3 linked regions of the Drosophila melanogaster genome follow. The protein of the gene in region 2 interacts with the protein of the main gene of each other region in a biochemical or structural test. Each region holds a gene or a part of one and is shown on either strand. Other genes may lie near its edges.

The links. Proteins that work in one complex are often made in the same cells at the same time.
Region 1: of the proteins of Art4 (region 2) and SmB, one has a biochemical effect on the other in vitro, tested with the Drosophila melanogaster proteins (one study listed by BioGRID).
Region 3: of the proteins of Art4 (region 2) and sqd, one has a biochemical effect on the other in vitro, tested with the Drosophila melanogaster proteins (one study listed by BioGRID).

What each region holds. Positions count from the first base shown.
Region 1 is NT_033779.5:10,424,974-10,428,666, reverse strand, and holds SmB (small ribonucleoprotein particle protein SmB), read left to right. Parts: upstream 1-2,039; 5' UTR 2,040-2,170; coding exon 2,171-2,173; intron 2,174-2,542; coding exon 2,543-3,139; 3' UTR 3,140-3,184; downstream 3,185-3,693. Other genes in the region: KdelR (KDEL receptor), read right to left, coding at 858-1,496; Wdfy2 (WD repeat and FYVE domain containing 2), read right to left, coding at 3,395-3,675. UniProt on the Drosophila melanogaster protein: Plays a role in pre-mRNA splicing as a core component of the spliceosomal U1, U2, U4 and U5 small nuclear ribonucleoproteins (snRNPs), the building blocks of the spliceosome. Involved in germline establishment and development.
Region 2 is NT_033777.3:9,982,299-9,987,791, forward strand, and holds Art4 (arginine methyltransferase 4), read right to left. Parts: upstream 3,763-5,493; 5' UTR 3,382-3,762; coding exon 3,180-3,381; intron 3,118-3,179; coding exon 2,224-3,117; intron 2,170-2,223; coding exon 1,759-2,169; intron 1,701-1,758; coding exon 1,615-1,700; 3' UTR 518-1,614; downstream 1-517. Other genes in the region: Glut4EF (glucose transporter 4 enhancer factor), read left to right, coding at 1-72, 4,350-4,535, 4,599-5,490. UniProt on the Drosophila melanogaster protein: Methylates (mono- and asymmetric dimethylation) the guanidino nitrogens of arginyl residues in proteins. May methylate histone H3 at 'Arg-17' and activate transcription via chromatin remodeling. Coordinates ecdysone-mediated expression of cell death genes.
Region 3 is NT_033777.3:13,643,296-13,648,271, forward strand, and holds the start of sqd (squid), read right to left. Parts: upstream 3,010-4,976; 5' UTR 2,625-3,009; coding exon 2,458-2,624; intron 1,276-2,457; exon of another isoform or gene 1,064-1,275; intron 1-1,063. UniProt on the Drosophila melanogaster protein: Component of ribonucleosomes. Could be needed to organize a concentration gradient of a dorsalizing morphogen (Dm) originating in the germinal vesicle. At least one of the isoforms is essential in somatic tissues.

The DNA.
Region 1 (3,693 bases), on a different chromosome or scaffold from region 2:
GTAATCTAATAAATAAAAGAAAATCGAGTTGTTTATTGTACTTTGTTTATAATATAATATCTGCAAAAGTGTTTAAAATATTATTTATGCCACATTAGGTTCGTATTTGTTTCGTACATGATCTCCATATAAATTAAATTTTCCATTTGCATCTGGCATGACTGCGAAGCGTGCAAGGGGAAACGAGGGTGTTGCAGAAATTTAATATATCTTTTCGGAATTCAATAGAAGTTGTGCAAAACAGCACATGGAGTTCCTACGATCCTGCGGCCTATTTTTCAGAATATTATGTGTATTATATGTTGACATCGCTCATCATTTACTTTACTATTAGCCACACAATAAGACTTAACTTTACTCGGATTTTTAGGATACAGTCGACTTAAGAGCTATTTAATGCATAACTTTAAATTCTTAATTAAACAAAGAAATCTATGACCTCTTCTGTGATACTATTGCGAATCAGATAAGCCTCCGCGCAAAAGAGAAAACATTTGTTTCGATTTTGTCAATTAACGTTATCTCTTACTGGAGTAATGATTTTTTTTTTTAATATTTTTGGATTCTAAAATTTGTGAGTGCAGTTCGGAAAACGGAGATTAATACATTTGTTACATTTTCAATGTACGATGTCGGTATTGCATAGTTTATAGTGTACTTTCGATTTTCGGTTTATTTCTCATTAAATAATTACAACTTAGGCGCTCCCCTCGATTATGTATCTTTTGTATAATATGAACGAAATACGCGTTGTCAAACGGGCCGTGGATCGCTCGCTTGTTTACTCTGACGTCGATTGATGATGTGTGCCGACAAAACACAAATGTCCCACATCTATGCACTTATCCATCATCCGCTTATGCCGGCAGCTGGAGCTTCTTGCCCTTAAGAACTTTGGTAATGTATAAGTAGAAGAAGTCGCAGTACAAGACGGTCTGGACAACTCCGGCGAAGATCGCGATAAGGTCGTAGTGCGACTCGACCATGTACCGGTAGACCCAGTTGAGCAAGTAGAGTGCACGGTACGATCCCAGGGCGAAGAGGTAGTGGCTGGTGATGGACTCGGCCTCGCCGGTTCTGCTCACTAGGAACAGCTGCGGCAGAATGGCCACCGATTCCAAATAGATCGAGAATGTCCACAGCACTTCCATCACGGTAAACTCATGATTGATCACCAGCGAGAGCAGGGCGCACGGCACCAGCAGGAATTCGATGCGGAACGAATCGTGATTGTGGTCATAGGTGGCCTTAAACTTCACGTACATCAAATACACGGTGGCACCGGACGTGGCCAGGAACAACACCTTCATCACCGAGTTGTACAGGCTCACGTAGGTGGTGAACAGATCCAGGTAGCGCGTCAGATAGACCACGGCGAACAGGATCTGCGACTTGCCCGATATTCCGGCGCACGAGCGGGTCTTCCATATCTTCAGCAGCAGTATTATGATGGCAAACACATGCGACAGATCCCCAGCAAAGCGAAAGATATTCATCGTGATCTAATCCGCCGACTTGGCTACTTGGCTGCCCGGTTGGCTGTTTGATTGTTCTACTTCCTTTCGCTGCGGCTGCGTCACGGAACGCACGCCTATATGAAAATGGGAGTGTATACTATAGCAATAATGGCGGCATTCAGTGTTTCAACAGCTGCATACGTTACCAAAATGACTTTTCGCCTAATTTGCCAACGAGTAGAGATGTGAGGGCTTTGCCGCTTCGGAAAAAAACTTGTCAGAATGTCGGCATAAACAATGACGTGGCTGATGAATAAGAATAAGTTTGATAACATGGCCACTGCCTATCGATATCGATAAGTGCCGCCACATGATTTTTTTAATGAAAATTCGACCATCTCTAACGAAAAAAATTGAGAAAAAACATACTGATTCAAATTTTTTCTTTTTTCGTTTTTTATCATAAGATTTAAAAAAAATTTAATTTTTTTCTCTTCTTTTGCTAGGGATAGTCGAATGTTTGTTTAAAAAATCATGTGGATTATCAATAAAAAATTTATATTCGATAGGCTCGATTGAAAGACACCAGAAAATGCTGACCGCCGCACACGCCACTCGATTTATTCTTCATGCCTATCGAAAAAAGCCGTGGTGAGGTTCCGGCATCTGTATTTTATTTACAAGCGATAGAATTAACATAGAAATCAAATAAAATGGTAAGTAAAAACACTGTTTTAAGCATCTGACTGCAATGGTTAAGTTTTGTTTAGTTGTATTAATTCATAGATTCTTACTTTCGCGGTTGCGATTTCGTATTTACATAGGCATACATACATACAAACATGCATGCGAATAAATAAAACAATTTGTTTTGGCTAATTAACTATTTTATATTTGTTTAAAATTATGATTTTTAGTGATCTTCGATATTACGCTGAGATTTGCTATTTCAAACTCTGTGGTTTATTAAAATTTTTATAAATACCGGCTTTTTTAAAGGGTCGAAATGGTTTACAAAAGATGGCGCGACTTTTATGCATGCTATTGTATTTCACAATTAAATCCTTTGAATTCCTTTATTTCAGACGATCGGCAAGAACAACAAAATGATTCAGCACCTGAATTATCGGGTGCGAATCGTGCTGCAGGACTCGCGTACCTTCATCGGTACCTTCAAAGCCTTCGACAAACACATGAACTTGATCCTCGGCGACTGCGAGGAGTTCCGGAAGATTCGCTCGAAGAATTCCAAGGTGCCCGAGCGCGAGGAGAAGCGCGTGCTGGGCTTTGTATTGCTGCGCGGCGAGAACATAGTTTCACTGACGGTGGAGGGACCACCGCCGCCAGAGGAGGGCCTGCCCCGAGTTCCCATTCCGGGAGCAGCTCCTGGTCCGGGAATCGGTCGCGTGGCCGGACGCGGAATGCCTATCAACTTGTCCGCCGTGCCAGCGGGTCTCCAGGGTCCCGTGAGAGGTGTGGGCGGACCCGCCCAACAGCACATGGCTCCGATGGGACGAGGAGTGCCACGAGCACCGATGATGGGTGCACCGCCACCGGGCATGATTCCCGGCGGCATGCCCTCGATGCCAGGAAACATGGGACGCGGTGCTCCGCCACCGATGCGCGGACCGCCGCCCAGCATGATCCGTGGAGCACCACCACCGGGCAGGGGTGGCTATTAAGTATAAAGTACAATCTAATAAAAACTCATTTAGAAAACACCACTTAATCGATGGATTCGTGTATTTATGTGTTGAATGTAAGCATACGTACATACAATGATTATTGCTTTACATCAATTATATGAGAACCTAAGCAGCAGGGACTGGATTTGGTCGTTGCCAGCCACATCGTTCGTTAATTGGGTGTTCCAGTTAAGACCGAAACGCCTCGTGAATGATTATACCTTTGGTACGTGCGTGTGCGTACAGGATGTTTTATGCCCAGATGTTGGAGAGATCCCAGATCTTGATGAGCCTGTCCTGGCCCACTGTCAACAGGCGCTTTCTGTCCTCGTCCAGGTCCATGTAGACGATCGAATGCTTGGCGTCATTGAATGAAGCCAGCGAGGGGCGCTCGACTGTCTGAAGTTGTTTGTAGCACGGATCACAGGTACGCACATCAAACTCGAAGCCCATTATGGGTATGTTAATGCGATTGGTGGAACAGTTGTCGCACACGGCTTTGCCGCAGTGGCGACAATGATGCTGTCGTATTCCTGACAGTCAGAAATTAC
Region 2 (5,493 bases):
CTATCGAGGATGTGTTGGCGTGGTAGACGATCTCAATGGAGTCGTGCGTCACATTAGGAAAACACATTTGGGGTAAGTGTACAAGTGGGAATGGCACTGCTATCAGAGGATTAGGTGGCGAGCAGCAAGTGGGCGGGGCCTTGACTTAGCCACCCGACCTTCTCGTTCCTTCCCCGCCAGCACTTCCACACGCCCGGAGCGGGTGCTGAAGGTGGTGTTGGTGGTGCCTCGAAAGTAGAGCACTCGAGCACAGTAAGCAGGTCACACGAGTGCGGCGTAGCCCCTCTCCAGCACGCAGATTACTTTGCAATGCGCACCTGCAGCAGCAGGCCAGCAATAGCAGCAGTGGGTGGCAGGTGCAGTGGTGGTGGCGCTTTTGAGGCCAAGGTCCAATTCAAAGCGCCCACACACGATCCGCGCTGAGCTTTGACACTTGCCAATCTCGTTTCCTATGTAAATCGAGAGGGGTTCCAAGTGGGGGTGCACAAATAAAAGACGCGGTGGGGCTTTGTTTTTTGCTGCTTTTGCTTTGACATTGTTCTCTCATCTGCATACATGCGGTATATCTATTCGTATATATATATATATATATATAATTGTATATGTTTTGCTTTATATTTATGTTTGCAGTGTATTGGGTGTTGTAGTGTTTTTGTGTTTCTACTTGCTGCTCTATAAAGTACAGTCCGCAAACAGGATACGAATGCGAGAATGTCGGGGTGTGTATAGGTTGGCGTACCTAACGCGTATATCTAGGTGTATATGCTTATATAGCGCTCGGCTTGCTGGCAGCGATATAGTTGGGTCTATGACAGGATCTGGGCTTGGATGCGTAACTTAGGATCGAACGAGGTGTGCCTCCACTGAACTGAATTAATCATAATCGTATTGGGGGTATAAGTATAATCTCTCGACCCAGGTCGGCCTTTAGTAATGATATCGTAGCTTAGCACTAAATCCTATGAGCAATTTCTTACATTTTGAAACGAACTAAACATAAACACGGTCGACAAGTACAAAAATTGAAACTAGCTGGAGGTACACACAATATATAGTATAATAACACACATAATAGATACAGTACAATCTGAATTTGTTGGTTTGTTCAAAGCTTACGGCAAAATCTGCAATTGGCAATCGGCATATTAACTAATAAACTTCCTGAAGCGCAGTCCCGTGCGGGCTAAATATCGGTATTACAATTCACATACGTTAAAAACTCTAATTACTATGGGCTTAAATTAGCTTAGGCTTATTAATATGCTGCGTGTTCTAAACAACTACATTAGTCTGCCTTGATTTGTTGATTGTTTGTATGTTGGTTACTTGCTGGGATGCTGGATTTCCTTCGATTTGTCCGATCGATTAAATGGGTAAGAGAAGGGAGGATAAGTATAGCACGATAGGGAAAGAGGTTGTTAAAAGGTATGCAAAACAGAACAGAACTAACTTTCGAAAATAGATAAAAATATTTTACACTTTTCAATAAATAACCTAATCATAAACTGTAACAAAACAAAAATTGGCAAAATTAGGATCAAGCGTAGAAAGTGAGCGGACTTAGAGCAAAGGGAATTCCCAGAAAGATGTATTGTTATTCGATCCACCGCCCCCCTAGTGCGGATGCATAAGTCCATGAGTGATGTCCATGCCTTCGCCTATTCCGTTCACGCTGATCCCTCCATTTAGCATGCTTGAAGCTATAGAAATTATAATCACATAAGCAATGAGATTATTATATCAAGGATTTGTTCTTACAATTGCGTGATCCTTGCGTGTCCACTTGTGTCCAGTACTGCTCAGATGGACTTTGGGTACTAGTCCCCGGCGGTGCCTGGACCGGGGCCCCCGTGTACCGAAAATACGGATTCTTAAGGTCCAGGGTGTTGCTCGACGAAATCAGCGTGCCTTCGATGTGTAGGTCGATGGTCACGTCATACGACTGCCGCCGATTGGCCTCCAGTAAGACACGGCCGGTCAGCGTCTGGCCCTGCTTAATAAAGATGGGCATGGGCAGAAGGCAGCGAACCTGATACCAATGTGTCAGAGGCGCTGTGGGCGACGTTGAGAGCCACACATTCTGGCTGCTGCCGCTAAACTCCACATCAAACCAAAAGGCCAGCCCATGGCAGATGCCAGTTTGCAGAATGTGAAACTCCAGGGGGATGCCTGCGGAAAGTCAACAGTTGGCCATTGTCGCAAATCACTTTTTCGGGTACTTACTTATCAAATGCAGATCGTCCTCCTTATCGTTGAGAAAGTCGCACACGTGCCGCACCGACTTGGCCATGCATATGCGGATGTCGAAGGTGTCCACAATGGGCTGTCGGAAGTACTCCTTCATGCCCTCTTTGTGCAGCGTGGTAAGGTCAACGCCGTGGAACGCCGACTGGTACCAGAAGTTGGCCTTGTTATATTGTTCCGAGTAGAGCGATTCGTCCGAAAAGGGTGCTATGTGCAAGTCGCCGTGCGTGGGGTACATCTTTCCTTGCGGCTTGAGCCACTTTCTGGCATGCAGATAGGTCTCCAACATGCGCTCGTTGTACAGCATATAGCCCATAGGCTCTGATATGATAACGTCCACTTTCTCGGGCAGCTCGATCTCCTCGATCTTCCCCGGTATCACAGAGATCTTATGCTGCACATTGTTGGACTCAACCAGCTGCTGGGCGTACTGGGCCATGTTGGAAGCCTCAATGGCGTACACTTTGGCAGCTCCCGCCTGCACGGCAAAGAAGGAGAGAATGCCCGAGCCGGCGCCCACATCCAGGACGATCTTGTCCTGAAAATCCACAGCATTGCCTAGAATGGCCCGCTGATACGTGCTTGTCCTTACATAGTCCTGCATCATGTTCTGCTGCTGACTGAGGTAGCCGTAGAACTGGAAGTACTGCGAGGCGGACGACTCCTCAGTGCGCTGCGAGAACACGGACTTGGGTCTCAAGTGCTTCACGTTCTCCACCACTTTGCGGAAGAGCTGCTGGTCCTGCTCGCTGGCAAACCTCAGCACTAGATTGTCGGCGTCCAGGGAAACGGCATAACTCCTTCGTCCCATTTGGGCGGCATCCGTATCGGCGGCTATCATGTACTCCTTGAGCACGTGGCTCCGGTCGTCGTCTGGTGGAGAGATTGGCGATATAAGGAACGGGTTTTATGAAACATTCGATGTCCTCTTTTACCTGACACAACACGGAGGACGACACCCTGGGAATCGTAGCTGCAGAGCAGCGTGCAGCTTCCCTTGTATTTGTTGGTAAACTCTAGCTTCTGCTCGTCGGCAATCGAGCTGATTACCACGCCGCAAAATTGGCAATTGCTCAGCGGCGAAACGGAGGCGGCGGTGGCCAGTTTTCGGGCCTCCTCGGGTCGCAGGCTGGACATGTTGGCTGGCTTTTTGGAGGGTAAAGAGGCAAAGGAACAAAGCAGGACCACAAGCGTCTTTTTTCCCTTGTTAATTGACAATGTAGACCTCGCTATACACACGCACGCACGCACACACACAAACACTCTAGCACACGCACACACACAGATACGCAGATGCAGACAGACAGACGCGCAATTTTTTCTATCTGCAAAATTTTCCACCACACACAAAATGGCTGGTGACTCGGGCAGCTGGATTAATTGGCGCTGGGAACTATATAGTGCGCTGCTTTTCAACTCGGACGATTACTCAAAATCGATCGCTCTTGTTGATTTCGTATTGATTTCACACGGAACATGCGTTCTTTTTTGCAAAAAGTGCTAGAGCTGGAACAAATAGTTGAGGCTAGAGGTGGGACCAAGTCCGATGCTTTTCGATAGGATTATTACCGCGCACTACCTTAAGACTAAGCGATTTTTCAGTCTAGTGAGATTTACAAAAGAATTGTATGCAAGGAAGCTTGCATCAATCTCAATTTCATTTTGAAATATAATTGAAAAAAAATAGTGCGGGGAAAAGAAATGTAAAAAGAAATAATATAGTTTTTTAAGTGGATAGAATCAAGGTTCAGAACTCTGGAACACTTCTAGCAGGGCCTCGAACCTAATGTGGGTGGTCGGCTAGTTGGCAACGCTAGTACAAAAAAGCGGTCGCTTGAAATGGAGAGTAGGTACCTAAATGAGGTACCTTAATAAATATTGACCAAAGTTTAACAGCAATTTTTAGCATTCATTTTAAAATATTTTTCCTATTTGTTTGAATTGAATTAAATCGAATAAACAACGTTAGACAACTTAAGTTCGTTAATTTAAAAGCTATCAATCTGATTTGAAGTAATACCGAACCTAGGTACATAACTGAAGCAAACTTGCCATCACTGACACATCCTTCTAATCAATTTCGCTATTTTTCGGTGGCATTGCAGAAAGGACTCCCATCGCTCCGCGGATGATGACGGAAATGAGGAGGACTTCTACCTCGAGGATGCCGACGACGACGTCGAGCAGGTGAAGCCCACTCTGGCCTCCGAGCCGACTCTGAGTCACCGGGACATGGCGCGTCCGCCGCACGAGGATCCCGAGTACCAGAAGCAGATTGTTGGCAACTTCAAGTGGGTTCTCTTGGTGCACGATATAGATACATTTAATGACATTATCCTTTTTCGATTTTCCAGGCAAGGACGCGGCGGTAGCCACTATAACCATCTAGCGCAGTCGCACGGACGCACCATCAGTGGCAGCAACATCCCGAGCACCCACCAGCAGCAGCTGCAGAACAACAACACCAGCTGCATCCCCACTTCGCACCTAGCCCACCACAACTACACATGCCCGGCGGCGACGGCGACAGTGGGCAGCTACTCCTCCACGGGGACGGGGTCGGTGGCGGCCAGTTCATCAGCCTCGCCGATCGGCAAGCACGCTCGCTCGTCGTCCTCCCGTCCGACCCACTCGGTAGCGCCATATCCATCGCCGACGTACGTCCAGCAACAGCAGCACCACCAACACACGCACCACCACAATTACGCCGGCAGCAGCGGCAGCAGCAACAGCAGCAGCAGCAGCAGTCCAGTGATCCACAGCAATAGCAGTGCCAACAACATGCTGCAGCAGCTGTCGCAGCAGAACGTCACAGTGACGGCGCACCACAGCCAGCAGCAGCAGCAACTGCAGCAGCAGCAACACCACCAGCAGCAGCAGCAACACAGCCACCAACAGCAGCAGCAACATCTCCTGTCCAGTGTGACGATCACGCCCAATTTCCATCCGGCGCAGCAGCAGCACCACCACCAACCGATGCGCGGCCACCAGCAGCAGCATCCACAGACAACTGCCGGCAACATGGTTGCCCAAAACAACAGTAACAACCACAGCAACGGAAGCAATCCGCTGCAGCAGCAACAGCACATGGCGCAACAGGTAGCCGTCAAGCATACGCCCCATTCGCCCGGCAAGAGGACGCGTGGCGAGAACAAAAAGTGCCGCAAGGTGTACGGCATGGAGAAACGCGACCAGTGGTGCACCCAGTGCCGGTGGAAGAAGGCGTGCAGTCGCTTCGGCGACTGAAAG
Region 3 (4,976 bases), 3.7 Mb from region 2:
AGGTTTATCTGGGAAAATCAGGCACGAAAAATAGGTTGTGTTTGATGCGCGAGGCAAATACTTTCTTAATTTACTTTAAATTTTTTCTTCTCTTACTGATTTTCGTATTGGCTGCAAAAGAATTTGATGACTGGGCAAGAATACAAAACGAATAAAAAAAACTCACCAAATTTGAAGTGAAAAATTGCTTTAGTTACTGTATTGCAATCAAAGAATTGATCGGATAGTGTCAAAATACTTGCAAACTCGGAATGAGCGAAAGAGTTCGAGGAGCGAGCGAGCGATCGATCGAGAGACACAAAACGAGCGAAAGATATAGATATATAGTATATATAAGATATGCAAGAGTGAATTATTAAGTTTTTGTTTTGGGTATGCTTAAGAGTCTTTGTCTGTACAAATAACAATTAACAATTAGTCTTTATTCAATAGGATGAGAGAAAAGAATGCAAAGGTTTTTATGCTGGATTGTGGTTAGTTTTACTTTCTTTATTTGGCTGTTTATTTTATTTTATATTTTTTTTTTTTTATAAAAAGGAATGTTGAAAAAATATGCAGACACTTATAGTTTACTATGATGTGTACGTTACTCATTGATTTCTGGACTTTTTGGAAAGATATCTCATCGTTCTCGGCGGATTCCCGGCAAATTTGGAACAGTCTCATCACACGGCGGCGGAATTTCGATTGCAATTTAGTGATTTGTGCTTCTTTTTTGTGGCAATTCGTTACGTTACATTCGTTCATTGTGTTTCTTTCTTCGGGCGATATATAATGTATAGTTTTTGAGCTTCATAAAACAAAACGAAAAAACTGCGAGTCTCTTTTTCACTCGGTCTCTCTCTGTCTCCGATTACTTGGTACTTTTTTGTTTTTCTTTTTTTTTTAGGTAATTTACAAGTTATACGTTAAGAGATACAATACAATATATACTCGTATACAGTTTACATATGGATCCAATTTTAAATCGAGATTATTTCTTGATAATTTTGTGTGTTGATAGTTCTATATATTGGCTGACTGACTGATTGTTTGTTTGTTTTAGTTTTGGATAGATAAATACCATCAGCATCAGTATCGGCGGAGCGGAGACTTTTGGAGACTGGAGTGTGGAGAGGGTTGCATATCCTCCAAGTATAAGTCCGCCGAATCCGAATCCGAATCCGTAACCGTTTGCCGGGGGCAGGAATACGAATCCAAATCCATATCCGAATCCATATCCGTCTTGAGCATAGCTTAAAACCCTGACCTGGGGCATTTCACTTCTCTCAAAACCTGCCGGAGAGGAACAAGGTTAGTTCGCTCACAAGACAACAGGATAAGCTATGATTTTCGATTTAATTTCTCCATTTCGTCCTTCTTCCTTTACGGGGAATAATCTGCATCTGCTTCGTCAGCGCTGGTTTCGTATTATCGTTTAAATGTACAGTATCGTGTGACTTAAGATTAAACTTAGATATAAAATGATCATAAAGGATGGGCAAATGAAGTGTACGCTAGACCTAAAAACCAAAACGCAGGGGAGCAAACAAGAGGACCATTCTACTTGATCATCATTATCTCTATGCTTTAATCCATCAAAATTATTTATCATTTATAATTTACATTAATTGTTCGTTAAATTAATATTTTGGCGCCTTGGCAACTCCAAACAACGCCGGCTGTCGCTCTCTGAGAGTAAGAGCGCGCAAAAGAGGTGGCGAGCGAGCGAAGCCGGCAAGCAAGAGAATAAGTGAAAACTGCAAAACACGCACACACCTACAGAACAGCGGGCGTTAGGTTGGTATGTATGCCTGTATGCAGCCGCCATTTTGGGTACAAAACTGGAAGAGCACAAAATAACAACGAAATAGCCGAAACAAAGAGTAATGCGAATTAAAAAGAATACACTGACAAATACAAACATAACTTTTTCCAACGTTTTTTTTCGCCACATTTTTTGCAAGTGAAAGGCAACCGTATGATTTGTGTTCGTATGCGTCACAGTGTGTCTGTGGGGCAACGTGGGAAACAAACATAACCTCACAAAGGGGAGAAAATGTGCTCCTAGCTTAAGAAAACTCTGGTTTTCATTGCGGAAAGTGCGTGTGTGTGCAGGGGAAAACGTTGAAAATTTTCCATGTCTCCCGAGACTGTGATGATGCATTTTGGCCCGAAGATTCTATTAATATGACTGAAGTACAGTCGCACCGACACCTCACACACACACACTTAAACACACTCCGACGCACGAGCGCAAGCGAGAGAGAACACAAAAGGGGTCAGACTTCCCCCGCAGAACCCCGTAAAATCCAATGAAACTCGACCAACGACGTTAGCTTTGCATTTACGTAACAGAGTAGGCAATATACACTATGTAGAAGCAGAAAATCTATGGGGGGCACATGATCATCGGTTGCCCGTTGCAAAAATAAAAAAGAACAAAAAAAAAACGTATCCGCCGGATAATGGACATACCTGTCGTCGTCCCGCTGGCCGGATGCGGCCGATTGGTTGTCCGAACTGCCGTTGGTCGAGCCGGCGGCGCCCGCATCACCATTTTCAGATCCCGGACCGTCGGCAGTCACGTCCTTGGTGAAATCCTCGCCGTTTATTTCTGTATCCACTTGCTTGTTCTCGGCCATTTTGTGTGTTTTCGACTGATCTACTAATTTCGGGGGCTAGGCAGCACGATATTCGTTTTTTACGCAGAGCCGGAGATTTTTATACACACTCGCCAAAAAGTCGCGCGTACGAATGAAATGACGACCGGAAAATGATAAATGCAAACGACAGCGTGTGTATATGGGTGCGGCGTTGCCACCTTGATGTTTTCCCAGTCAAGTCGATTTGGTATTATTTTGGTAAATATTTGTATTGTATTTGCTTGCTCTACCTGGAGATTGTTAGCTATACATTTGCCAAGGATTAAATTGGGATTTTCTGTACGATACCACCCCAAATAAGCCTATATAAGGAGCTAAATGGGCGCGTGACTTGTCTGCTTGCAGTATGGCAGCTTTGATTTATACAATGTACACACACCTATGAAGAGAAAATGAAAAGAATACCAAAAATTTTATACAAATATTTTAAAGCCCAGTTTACACAATGGACAAGTTACTTGGTTTATAAATTCATTTTAGTTGTATTAAAGGTTTAAATATTTAAATAAATATTAAGTATTTCATAAACATTTATAATTTTATAAATATAAAAAATACAATGTTCATTATTTACTATGTGTTGGGAACGAAAACAACATTTACATACAAAGAATTGTTTAAAATCGAATTTTCATATTAACTTCTTATAGGCTGAAACATCAACAATATTTTAAATCATTTAATTGGTTTATATTAAATATTTTTATTTTTTGCAAAAATTTATACAATTTTCATATTCGGATTTCCCAACAGGTTATAATATAACGTTATTATGGTTTTTATTTATTTGCTATATAAAATGTTTCCTTTAAAGAAAGGTGTTTCATGAGCTTACTCAAAAAATCGGAAATGGCTAAAATGAAAATAAGTTTTATAAAACTATTTAAAAGAAACTTAGCGCCCCTAAAATGAGCTTAATTGAGCTCAAATATGAAAATATCAAATTCATCAAAATATTCTATGGAACATACTAGATTAACCACCCCAAAAAAAGAAGTGTGTGCACACCCTTGGAAAAGCCGCCATCATTCACACACCAACACACGCGAAACCAAGAATAAAACTGTGCAGAGGCAAAAAAGAGGAAAAGAGGAACGAACGTCGGTTCTCTTCTCGATTCAACACACTTGTCCAATTTCATTGCGTTTGCGATTATTTTCTACTCAAAAGCCACAACATATGCATCGTAACTTAATTCAACAACAACTGTGATCGCCAAACATCAGAAAGCAACAAAAAATACACGTCAAGAATTGCCAAGTTAGTTATTCTCAAAAAAAAAGACAAAAAGAATTGCAACAAACTAGACTAGTGTGTGTGTGTGAGCGAGTGAGTGCATTGGTGTGTGTGGCTGTGTGTTTTGTGTGCAGCTTGCAATTTTATACTGCATTTCATACGTTTCGACTATCGTTTTGTAAATTAAAAAAACCGCATAATTTCAGCGCTCCACTAAGAAATCCAACTCTCCCCGCCCCCCGCAGGAAGATAACAAAGAAAAGTGCTACAAAAAGTGCCGATTTTTCGGCAAACTTCAACCCAAAAGCAATACACACTGTGCATTACAAAAAGGAAAAATAAAAACGAGGAAAAATATCGCTTAAAAAAGGTGAGCCGGCGACGGCCTCGTGTGCGCGGTCTAGAAAAACTAGCATTTTCCATTTTCAAAGGGGTGGCGCATACTAGGAAAAAATCAACATAAAAAATGCTAAATGGGCGTATATTTTATTATTGCGGCAGGGCTCTATCTCTTAAATTTTTTTTTTTACCATTTTAGCGGCTTTTTTTATTATCGCTTGTGCATAACCTAAAAATGTACGAAAAATTTTGTTTTTGTACATTTTTGTTTAAATGCTGCTCTTCAACTATAGCTTTCTTTGTTCTTCCTACACACGCGGTTCGCAAGCAGAAATAGAGTGGGAAAGAGAGAACCCGAAAGAGCGGCGCGTTCATAACCGAATATGTGTGCGTGTGGGTTTGCCGCAACTCATTGTGCATTTTTTGTTTTATCGGCAAATGTTTATGGCTAAAATGGGGCAAAGGACACCTGCAAACATTGATATTTACTTACACCTTTTAACGCTATTTCAAGTGTTTTTGCAAGGCAGCAATTTGATATTTTGGCCAAGCTGGAGTTCATTGTATGCGGCGCCACAACCTTGAGACCCGAACATAACCTCAATTTAATTCATGCTCCTCGCTTGGCGGCTTCTTTTTTTTCTTTGCCAAATTGTATGAGGTCATTTACTCGCGCACACACACACACGTGCAAAGTTCAGTCAGCCAGGATCGCAGGCATAAAAGCTGGAGCACGTGCAGGGTTAAATGTCCTGC